Linked DNA regions of Sus scrofa. The protein of the gene in region 2 purifies or fractionates together with the protein of the main gene of each other region. This does not show direct contact. Links are inferred from orthologs where the notes say so. Each region holds a gene or a part of one and is shown on either strand. Other genes may lie near its edges.

Region 1 (3,752 bases), on a different chromosome or scaffold from region 2:
TTGAAGACCAGCCTGACTCTGGGAGAGTATATGTGCTCCCTGCGCCTCCCCGTCCTCAAGAGAGGCTGCCACGCCCCCGCCACCACTGTCTGCCACAGGAAATTGAGAAAACCCCAGCGTGGGCTGGTCCTGAACCCTATAAGTAAGGCTGTGGCTTCAAGACCCAATAGCTCCCAAAGCCTAAACTCACCCAATCTGGTCTGTGTCACTCCCACTTACTCATTAATGTGGCACTATCCAGCGCCGCAACTTCCCTGTCCTCGGCTTCGGCGTCTGCTGCGATATCAGTGGGTCCACCACTCCGCCCCTAGCGATGAGTATAGAGACCAGGCTCCCAACTCAAGATGGCGGCCACCTGCGCCCCTTACCCGAGACCCCAAGGGTCGTCTCCCAGAAACCCTTGCACGCGGCGGCGGCGGCCGCGGCGGTGGCTGCTGCACAGCCCAGCAGAGGGGCGGAGAGAAGCGCGCCCCAGCCCCACCCACCCAAGGAGGAGCCGGCGCCTGCGCGTGCTCAGCAATTTTAACCCCGCGGAGTTGCTGTGGCAGCAGTGTCCCACTGTCCCAGTCCTCTGTGCCCGCTCTCACTCTTTCATTCATTCATTCGTTCGTTGATTGAATAATTCATTCGTTCATTTTACAATGCAGTATTGATGGAGGGCCTAATCTATGCCAGGCATTGTTTTAGTATTAAAGGTAAAACGGTGTACACAACGGATAGAAGTCCTAAACTCATGGAGATTTGTAGAGCCTCCTCAGCTTCATTTGTTCTACCACTGCGCTCTGCTCATTTGTTTCAAGCTTTTCAGTTAGCCATGTGTTTAAATTTTTGGATTCTATAACATCTGTGGATTTTTTGACAAAAACATAGTCTGTGACATATGTAATGAGTAACTCCAGATAATGTACTCTAAATTATTTTAACACGTAAAGCCTTGTAATACACCCTGGGGTCGAACAAACAGTATTGAAAACAAATTGTTTTCCACGTGTAATGCTAGGCACATCATGTATTAGATATATAACACATGATTCTTTCTCTGAAGAAGCTCCTGTTGACCATCTCTTGCTCTTTTTCTCTCCCACCCCACCTCCCTTTTGTTCTATTTTCTGAGAAATTTTTTTGGATTATTTTACAGATTTCCACTGATTTTTTTTTTTAATTCTGCTATTGTATTTTTTAAATCTCAAGAGCTGTTTCTTATTTTTAAATTCAGGGATCAAGATAGTGTTAGCTTGTAGTCTTGCAGCAAGAACATACCTTAGGCATCCTCCATAGTTTGGAATTTGGCACATAGCATTACAAACTCTTTATTGATAATGTAATAAAACGTTACAGAGTCAGGCCCTAGATAGTGGGTATTGTGGATTCGTGTAATGCCCTAGGACCAGCCCTGGGAATTCATTCACAAAGATCTCAACCTTGCCAGGAAGATGCAAGAATGACTACGACTCCCAGAATGCACTACAACCCCAGATTAGCGTGGAGCGGTGCATCCTGGGAGTACATTCACTCGGGGAAGGAGAGGAAGAGCTTTTTTGAATATTTTTCTGGGAGTTGAAGTTGTTCGGAATCGCTGCTTCTCTTTTCGGCTATCCGTGAGTCTCTGGGTGTAGAGGGCTGCCTCAGTCTTTCAGGCCTGGAGAAGTAATCGACGCCGCGCACGCACCTTTCTGCCCCGGACCCAGACGGCCTCAGCATCAGAACCCGAAAAGGAAGCTAAGCACAGGGCAGGGTGGCTGCCGCCGTCTCTCCGAGCCACCAGGAACTGACCATCCCAGCCCTCGTTCCATAGGCCCACCCTTTGACCCATTTAGTATCTGGGCTGGTTTCAGGCCCTGGCCCGGGAGATTGACACGGATCTTTGAGCAGGTTCGGCTTTGTGGCATTCCGGCCCTTCCCACCTCCTCACCACTTACCCATCCCAGCACCTCTCTCTGGCCTCCGTACATCTCTCGTCCCCTCGTTCTGAGCTAAGTGTTGGGCAATTGAAGCGTGTTCTCTGTCCAGCGGTGCCCCAGCCACAAAAAAGAACCTTTCTGGGTGTGACGTTCTTTCCACTGAGGGTTTGAGAGAATTTCCTTCTAAAGTCGAGACTGTTTTCACTTGTATGAAGTGAAATTAGAAAAATAAGGACAATGTAGGGAGTTCTTACACAGTTAAATTTATTTAAATGATTGGGATAGTTTACTTGTTTTTATTTCCCGTTTGTTTTAAAATAATTTTTAGCTGAAAGATAATGTAGTGGAAAGGTTGTAGCGGGAACTGCTGCCTAAGAATTATTTCTTAGCGAAATCACCTTTTTTGTCGGTAGCCAGTACCTCAAAATGACTGCTGATTTAGTATAACTCATAGGCAGAACCTCAAAGAGATGAGATATCTTACCTAAAATTACGAAAGGTGAGATAATAATCCAGTTCTCTTGGCTCTGGAATCTACTCTGCTCACACTGATTTTATTCTTTGAGTTGAGAATACAGCGGGCCTGACTGGGTTAGCATTTTGGCTAACCATTTTCTGGAGGCAGTGAGGTACCTGAGCCAGGGTTTTCTCCTTGTAGAATGGTAATAATGGTACTTAAATTAGTTTGATATGTGTAAAGCTCTTTACCTTTTAACTGCTGTTATTAAGATTTATTTACTCAATTCCTTGTTTATAGCTTTAAAGTTTTGTATTTAGATATATCATTTGATAAAGTTCCTTCTCTTTCTTTGTTTTCTTATTTGGTTTGTCTTACCCAGGCAGTTTTATAAACGTTATTTTTTCTTTACCTCAGGCCAGACACACCTTTTGAAGTTTTGAAAAATTATCTAATTTGCATCATTATTGCCTTTGTTTTATTAAAACCATAAGCTTGAAACACAAGTTTTACTTGAAATTTTAGATGAAATTTAGATATAAATTCGTGTGTTCAAGGAACAGTAATTTCATCTAAATAACCCAGTTTTCAGTAACCAATATAGTTACTCCAAATCACTTTATAGAATGTATTTTCTTTTTCTTCGTCTCTTAATTTCTAACAAAATAATACTGTATTCTTTTTCAGTTTCCTGCTTTACCATGCTCTCTTGTGATATTTGTGGTGAAACAGTAACCTCAGAACCAGACATGAAGGCTCACCTAATTGTTCATATGGAAGATGATGTTATATGTCCATTTTGCAAATTGTCAGGTGTGAGTTATGATGAAATGTGTTTTCATATTGAAACTGCTCATTTTGAGCAAAATGAGCTAGAAAGAAACATTGAGAGGATTAATTCAGTACAGTACGGAACTTCTGACAACAGGACGGACAGCACCCTGCAGTGTAGAATGGAAGTTAATTCAAGTATTCATTCAGCTTGTGCGTCTAATCATCCGAAAATTTTAGCTCAAAGTCTGCCTAAGGAAGGATCTTTAAAACATAAAGGCTTTCATTCAGAGAATGTAACTGAATCCAGAAAATTTCTGAAAAGTAAGGAAAAACAGTCTGACCTAACCAAAATAAAAGGATCAATTTATGAAACAATGTATAGTCCTCCTGAATGCCCATTCTGTGGAAAAATAGAAGATTGTAGTCAAGATATGGAAACTCATGTGAAAACAAAGCATACCAACCTTTTAGATACTCCATTAGAAGGTAAAGTGTTTGTTTTATGTAATAAGCAGCAGTAGTCTCAACTTAATAGGTGGTGTCCCAAAAGTTGGTTTATACATCAGATGACTGCAAATGTATTTTTAATTTTCAGTTCATAGCATTGTTCATTTGCCTTT
Region 2 (3,652 bases):
ACATTGGAAAGTGAGGAAGGAGGCTGGAATTCTTACTGACTAGTTTTACGAATGTGATACTAAGTTTGTTTGGTCCCCTAACCTTAAAAATGAGAAGAGCTCACAAAGATCCATTTAGGAAAAGTCATTGTAGTAAAGGAAGGGATCTTATCTTGACTTATATCTTCTGAGGATTAGATTAAAAGAAACCATATTTTTAAAAGAAATTTAATTGACATAGGTTTCTTTTGAGTGGCTTGTTTCTAGATCCATGAAACCAGTGTTTCAAAATTGAAATCACATTGTAGAAAAGCTAGTAAAATGACACCCAAGTATTATGTGCCTTGTTAAGGCCATATGCTGCACCTGTGACTCTAAAAAGCAAAAAAAAAAAAAAAAAAAAGTCATTCTTCCTGGTGTTCTTCCCTAATGAACTCTATTAGCTGGTCATTAAGTACTCAACAAGAAATTTTTTTTTTTTTTTTTTTGTCTTTTTCTATGGCTGCCCCTGCAGCACGTGGAGATTCCCAGGCTAGGGGTCTAATCTGAGCTGTAGCTGCTGGCCTACACCAGAGCCACAGCAACATGGGATCTGAGCTGCATCTGCAACCTACACCACAGCTCAGGGCAACGCCGGATCCTTAACCCACTGAGCAAGGCCAGGGATCAAACCCGTCACCTCATGGTTCCTAGTCCGATTTGTTACCCACTGAGCCACGACAGGAACTCCAAGAAAAATTTTTGACATTAGTATGTGACAGGAATATCAAGATTCTGCCCTGTGATGAGTTGCCATGCTAATACTGAGACACCAGGTAGGGGATTTTTTTCCCCTGCATTGGGTGTTGTTGAAATAAATTCTACTCCTCTTAAATCTGCCTGAGGGGCACTAGATCAAGAAATGAAATAAATGTTTTTCTAAGGAAACAACATATAAATTTTGTTATATTTCTGATTTCTATCCATTAGTCAGATGCCCTCCCTTCTCACTGTCATTGAACTGCTATATGATGTCTTGGGTGGGTGGATTGTCTTCCTAGGAGGAAGGATTGAAGTTAACATTCCAGAAGCACAAGTTGATGGCTAATGGAGTAATGGGAGATGGACATCCTCTTTTTCATAAGAAGAAAGGGAACAGAAAGAAGCTAGTTGAGGTAAGTGGTAGAGAAAGTCTTTAACATGATGATTAGAGAAAATGTTTTTATTCCCAGTAATTGATGATGGCATTTGGGATTGAGGGAGCAGAAGGTAATGTTTTACGGCTACCATTGGCTCTGCTCCCCCTCTCTCCCTGCCCAAAAGAAGAGTATGTGCTCATGGGGGTGGATTCTGGGTTTGCAGCTGGAGGTGGAATGCATGGAAGAGCCTAATCACCTTGATGTGGACCTGGAGACCCGGATCCCTGTCATCAATAAGGTGGATGGTACTTTGCTGGTGGGTGAGGATGCCCCTCGCCGGGCTGAACTGGAGATGTGGTTACAGGGTCATCCAGAGTTCGCTGTCGATCCCCGATTTCTAGCGGTGAGTGGCAGTTCCATCCAGCAAGATTTAAAGTCATTCCCTTGGTACTGAAGCTGTGTGAGAGAGAGAAAGCATGCCACATTGTGTCATTGTTTCTGCATCGGCAAAATAAGAGTAATTTTACTTAGTCTTCCTACTTCACAGAGCTGTGAAGATCAAAATAATGTTAAAGTAATTGTTCAACTAAATGCTAGGCAAATATTTACTATTAAACTATTATATAATCACCTAAAAAAATTTTTTTTTTTCTTTTGAGAGGTCAGCTTAATGGTAGCTTTCCATTAGGACTAATCCTTTACACAATAAGCATTTACTATAATTAGACACTAGTACCTTAATAATTATTCCAGATAATATTTTTTTTTCTTTAGAATAACTTTAACTTTTCTATTCCAGTATATGGAGGATCGCAGAAAACAGAAATGGCAGAGATGTAAAAAAAATAATAAGGCAGAATTGAACTGTTTGGGAATGGAACCAGTACAGACAGCTAACTCTAGGAATGGGAAAAAGGTGAGTGAGACTGAGATATTACCACTCTGTTCCAACACTAAATATGACTAGAGAAATTAATAATCTTTTTTCTAATATATGTTTGAGAAAATTTATCTTCGGTTCAGAAATAGGGAAACCACAGTATTTTTACAGTCCTGTGGCATCATAATCTTTAGAAAAGCATATAATTCTAAAAGATTACTTTAGCACTTGAAGCATATTAAAAAGTAATTAGTAAGACATGTTAGAACATTCAGGGCCTTATCCTACTGTTTTACTGACTAAGCAATTTAGGGTAAGTTCTTTTTCAGCTTGCATATCCTGAAAAGTGAAGGTTTTGGAACAGATAATCTCATAAAAGTTTTATGCTTCTAATATTTTAGAAGTGATTTGGGGCCTATTAAAGAATATAATCATGGGGTTTCCCAGCATTAAAGAGGTTAAGGAGTTCCCACTGTGGCTTAGCAGTAACAAACCCAACTAGTATCCATGAGGAAGCAGGTTCGATCCCTGGCCTCCCTCAGTGGGTTAAGAATCCAGTGCTATGCTTTTATCATGGTTATAGATCTTCTGGTGGATTAAGAATTTATAATCCTTTCCATCAAAATATTAACTGCGAAAGTTTCTCTTGGCTCTGTTTGCCTTACTTTTGGCAAGAGTTACATTTTTTAAACATATAGAAATCATGGTTTGATTTGGTAAGCAGTCATTTAAAGTGGTTTATCTTTTGGGATTTCCTGTTGTGGCTCAGTGGTAATGAACCTGACTAGTATCCATGAGGATGTGGGTTCAATCCCTGGCCTCACTTAGTGCGTTAAGGATCTGGCATTGCTGTGAGCTGTGGTGTAGGTTGCAGACGTAGCTCAGATCTGGCATTGCTGTGGTTGTAGTACAGGCCGGCAGCTTCAGCTCTGATTCAACTCCCAGCCTGGAACTTCCATATGCTGTGGGTGCAGCCATAAAATGCAGAAATAAAAATAAAATGGTTTATCTTTTAGTAAAATTAATTTTCAAGTGAAAATATGTACCTTTGGATTTAACAAACTCTGAGGACATTATTTTGCACATTGTAAATATTTACCTGTGAGGTAAATTTATAAGGGTCATTTATTTTTATATTGGTGAGAGTGATTTCATATAGTAAATATTGTCACCATGGAAGAATGTTTTTATTTTCCCTCTGAGATTCCATGGGACCAAAGGTGTAATAAGCAGAATGGTTGATATGGGAGGCTGATGGCTAGAAGGCTGAGACCTCTCTGTCTTGAATTTTAACATTATAGAGCAGCCTGTAAAGAAGGCTTTTCCTCCAGGATCACCCATTTTTACTTCAAATACTTTTGCACTTCTTTATAGTCCGTTCACAACTCTAAGAAAAAAAAAAGATCATAGGAAATCACAGAAAATCATAATATGAATAGTATAGAATTCTTAATGCAGAATTGGTGGAATATATAGCACTACATTATTATTGCAGTAATTTGGTGCTATTATAGTTATATTTTAAAAGCCTATACAAATAGAGTACTGAGGTGTTTGTTTCTTCCAGGTCAGAAAGGTCAAGCTTAGATTGGGCAGGTCCAGAGACACAGGTACTAATCGTCTGAATTTAATGCCAGTTTACCCAATATTGTACTTAGCTCTAACAAAGTAGTAA
Region 3 (3,652 bases), on a different chromosome or scaffold from region 2:
CCTCCCTTGCCTCCTCCATTTGCTGAGCAGCTCCAAGGAGTCAATCCGAAAGGAAGCTTGCTGGACCATTTCAAATATCACTGCTGGCAACAGGGCTCAGATACAGGTAGAACATGCAGGAGGGAAGTTGGGGGGCTGCTGGTAGAAAGGCCTGGGAACATGAAATATTGTGGGATATTTCCCTCCAGAAGAACGAATTTGTTTCTTTTTAGAAATTGGGGTCAGTGCATGCCATTGGTCAAAGAGTCTGTTCACATTCCTCTGTAGTCTCTTACCCGTATGAGAAGAACAAAGGAGAACTTTGAGGAAGGTTAAGATTTCTAAATCTTAGCTAATGTGTGATCTGGGTTTGCTTTATTCTTCTTGAAGTGACTTTCTCCCACTGTGCCCCACCCTCCACCCCCCAATTCTCTCTCAGGCTGTCATAGATGCAAATATCTTTCCCGTGTTGATTGAAATCCTTCAAAAAGCAGAGTTCCGTACAAGGAAAGAGGCAGCCTGGGCCATCACCAATGCCACATCAGGAGGAACCCCTGAGCAAATCAGGTATCCTATTCCTTTGCCATTGTCTTTTTTTTTTTTTTTTTTTTTTTTTTGTCTTTTGTCTTTTTGTTGTTGTTGTTGTTGCTATTTCTTGGGCCGCTCCCGCTGCATATGGAGGTTCCCAGGCTAGGGGTTGAATCAGAGCTGTAGCCACCGGCCTACGCCAGAGCCACAGCAACGCGGGATCCGAGCCTTGTCTGCAACCTACACCACAGCTCAGGGCAACGCCGGATCGTTAACCCACTGAGCAAGGGCAGGGACCGAACCCGCAACCTCATGGTTCCTAGTCGGATTCGTTAACCACTGCGCCACGACGGGAACTCCATGCCATTGTCTTGATATGCATACTCTGCCTCTTGGCTCATGGTTTACATATAACCTCTAAACTGCCTTTTCTGGGACAGGTCTGCCCCCACTCAGTAGGGTTTAACTGGTAAGCTCCTAGAGTGCGGCACTGGAATCTGAAATAGATTCCTGTAAACCATGTACCTCTTTTCCATCCTGGAAAATAGAAACTTATGATGCAGAGTTCCCACTGTGGCTCAGCAGGCTAATGATCCAGTGTTGCTGCAGCCGTGGCTCAGATTATATGCCACAGCTGTGGCTATAAAAAAAAATAGAAGAGTTCCGGTCGTGGCACAGCAGAAACGAATCCAACTAGGAACCATGAGGTCGCAGAATCGATTCCTGGCCTCGCTCAGTGGGTTCAGGGACCAGCGTTGCTGTGAGCTGTGGCGTAGGCTGGCAGCTGTAGCTCCGATTGGACCCCTAGCCTAGGAACATCCATATGCCATGGGTGTGGCCCTAAAAGGACAAAAGACACACACACACACATAAATAGAAACTTATGACACAGACATCCATCTCTTCTCTGCCTCTATCCTCCAGATAATTTAAATATATGTAATTCTCAATTATCCATATAAATGAGGGAGGTCCATGTTACAGTTCATTCAGAGCATCTTCTTTGAAAAATCATCTTTTGGGAGTGATACTTGGGAGAACAAATACAAAGCCATTTTGTGTGCGAATGCTCTGATTTTGACTTCCATTATCCGCTTGAGGAGCAATGGTGGGAATGGGAAATGCATTGCCTTCAGCTTGTAGTTCTGGAAGAGGAGTATATTCAGTATACGTAAAATCTCAGAAGTAAAGGGATAGCCATTGAGTTAAGTTTTGGAGGGGTTGTAGATGGCCTTTTGGACAGGAAAAAGCATGAGTAAAGGTACAAAAATCAGAAACCTGGAAACCTTTACATGTTTGACTGGAATGTCGTACTTTTGGAAGTGAATAAAGGGAGGCAGAGTTAGAAAAGGCCATTAGGAGCCAAATTGTTCTGTCATAAAAATTTATTTTTTATTTTATTTTATTTTTTTTTTGTCTTTTGTCTTTTGTCTTTTTAGGGCCGTACCTGTGGCATATGGAGGATCCCAGGCTAGGGATCAAATGGGAGCTGTGCTGCTGGCCTATGCCAGAGCCACAATAACGTGGGATCTGAGCCACGTCTGTGACCTATACCACAGCTCATGGTAATGCCAGATCCTTAATACACTGAGCGGGGCTGGGGATCAAACCCACGTCCTCATGGAAACTAGTCAGGTTCGTTAACCACTGAGCCACAACAGGAACTCCTGACTGAAAATTTTGAGGCAAGTGATGTGTTCAGAGTAGGTAATGTTGCAACAAGGAGACTAGGAGGCAGAATTAATGGCAGGTTTCTTTCTACATGGAAATAAACTAGGCCAGTAGCATTGGGAGAGTGAAGAGATTGAGATAAAGAGTGGATGGTTCTGAAGGCTCAGTTGGAATGGGTTGCGGAAAGTATTGATGTGCATGAGGAGACCCAGAGGCCCCATAGCATAGCACCTGCCTGGCACCTCCCTGGCCCTGTATTAATTTAGAATTTGCCTGGTCCCTGCCCCCCAGGTACCTGGTCTCCCTGGGCTGCATCAAACCCCTGTGTGACTTGCTGACTGTAATGGACTCAAAAATTGTACAAGTAGCCCTCAATGGCCTGGAGAACATCCTTCGGCTTGGAGAGCAAGAGGGCAAGCGCAGTGGCTCAGGGGTCAATCCCTACTGCGGCCTCATCGAGGAAGCCTATGGTATGTGCCCTCTCCCCAACCTCACCTCTGCCTCTAGCTCAGAACCTGGGGACTCTAAGCCTCTGACATATACATTCACGAGGGAGGGTGTGTGGGGTGGGAGGGCGTCAGCACTGAATGCGAGGTTTTAGCCCACCAGTTCTGTTTTCCTCTGAGGAGTAGGAGACCGGTTCTCTTGCTGATAGGCTCTGCCCCGTAAGTAGATTATGGTACAGATGGAAAAATAAAGCTCCAGAATTGATAATAGTATCAGGAGCTGGATAGAAGACATGTTTTCAACTGAGTTTCTAGCAAGTTCTTTTTTTTCCTTTTTTTTTTCCATTATGGTTTATTATATAATGGTTCCCTATGCTATACAGTGGGACTTCTTTGTTTAGCTATTTTGTATACAGTAGTTTGTATCTGATAATCCCAAACTCCTCTAATTATCCCTCCCTCACTTTCTCCTTTAATAACCATAAATTTGTTCTCATGTCTGTGACTCTGTTTCTATTTTGTGAATGACTTCATTTGTATCTATCTTTTAGATCCCACATATGATCTTTTGTCTTTTTCTGTCTTCACTTAGTGTAATAATCTCTAGGTTCATCCATGTTGCTGCAAATGGCATTATTTCATTCTTTTTTATGGCTGAGTATATTCTATTTTATGTATGTACCACATCTTCTTTATCCATTCATCTATTGATGAACGTTTAGGTTGCTTCCATGTCTTGGCTATTGTAAATAATGCTGCTGTGAACATTGGGGTGCATATTTCTTTTGGGTTGTTTTTTTTTTTCAGATATATGCCCAGGAGCAGGATTGCTGGATTGTATGCTAGCTCTGTTTTTTTGTTTTGTTTTGTTTTGTTTTTTTTTAGAGCCGCACCTGCAGCATATGGAAGTTCACAGGCTAGGAGTCAAATCAGCCACAAGCCTATGTGCCACAGCAACGTGGGATCCAAGCCACGGCTGCAACCTACTCCACAGCTCATGGATACAGTGGATCCTTAACCCACTGACC

What was found.
Region 1: the proteins of CHD8 (region 2) and KPNA5 purify together in Homo sapiens (affinity purification with mass spectrometry; 3 studies listed by BioGRID and IntAct, with this or other methods). This does not show direct contact. The link is inferred for Sus scrofa from reciprocal best matches to the Homo sapiens genes CHD8 and KPNA5.
Region 3: the proteins of CHD8 (region 2) and KPNA6 purify together in Homo sapiens (affinity purification with mass spectrometry; 4 studies listed by BioGRID and IntAct, with this or other methods). This does not show direct contact. The link is inferred for Sus scrofa from reciprocal best matches to the Homo sapiens genes CHD8 and KPNA6.

The regions. Positions count from the first base shown.
Region 1 is NC_010443.5:44,938,451-44,942,202, forward strand, and holds the start of KPNA5 (importin subunit alpha-6), read right to left. Parts: upstream 2,770-3,752; 5' UTR 1,924-2,769; coding exon 1,920-1,923; intron 1,873-1,919; exon of another isoform or gene 1,464-1,872; intron 498-1,463; exon of another isoform or gene 224-497; coding exon of another isoform or gene 220-223; exon of another isoform or gene 191-219; intron 1-190. Other genes in the region: ZUFSP (zinc finger with UFM1-specific peptidase domain protein), read left to right, coding at 3,060-3,618. UniProt on the Homo sapiens protein: Functions in nuclear protein import as an adapter protein for nuclear receptor KPNB1. Binds specifically and directly to substrates containing either a simple or bipartite NLS motif.
Region 2 is NC_010449.5:77,774,866-77,778,517, forward strand, and holds part of CHD8 (chromodomain-helicase-DNA-binding protein 8), read left to right. Parts: intron 1-1,019; coding exon 1,020-1,133; intron 1,134-1,165; exon of another isoform or gene 1,166-1,320; coding exon 1,321-1,500; coding exon of another isoform or gene 1,501-1,553; intron 1,554-1,896; coding exon 1,897-2,013; intron 2,014-3,652. Other genes in the region: uncharacterized protein LOC106504487, read right to left, coding at 1,464-1,553. UniProt on the Homo sapiens protein: ATP-dependent chromatin-remodeling factor, it slides nucleosomes along DNA; nucleosome sliding requires ATP. Acts as a transcription repressor by remodeling chromatin structure and recruiting histone H1 to target genes.
Region 3 is NC_010448.4:88,645,565-88,649,216, forward strand, and holds part of KPNA6 (importin subunit alpha-7), read left to right. Parts: coding exon 1-106; intron 107-418; coding exon 419-546; intron 547-2,469; coding exon 2,470-2,648; intron 2,649-3,652. UniProt on the Homo sapiens protein: Functions in nuclear protein import as an adapter protein for nuclear receptor KPNB1. Binds specifically and directly to substrates containing either a simple or bipartite NLS motif.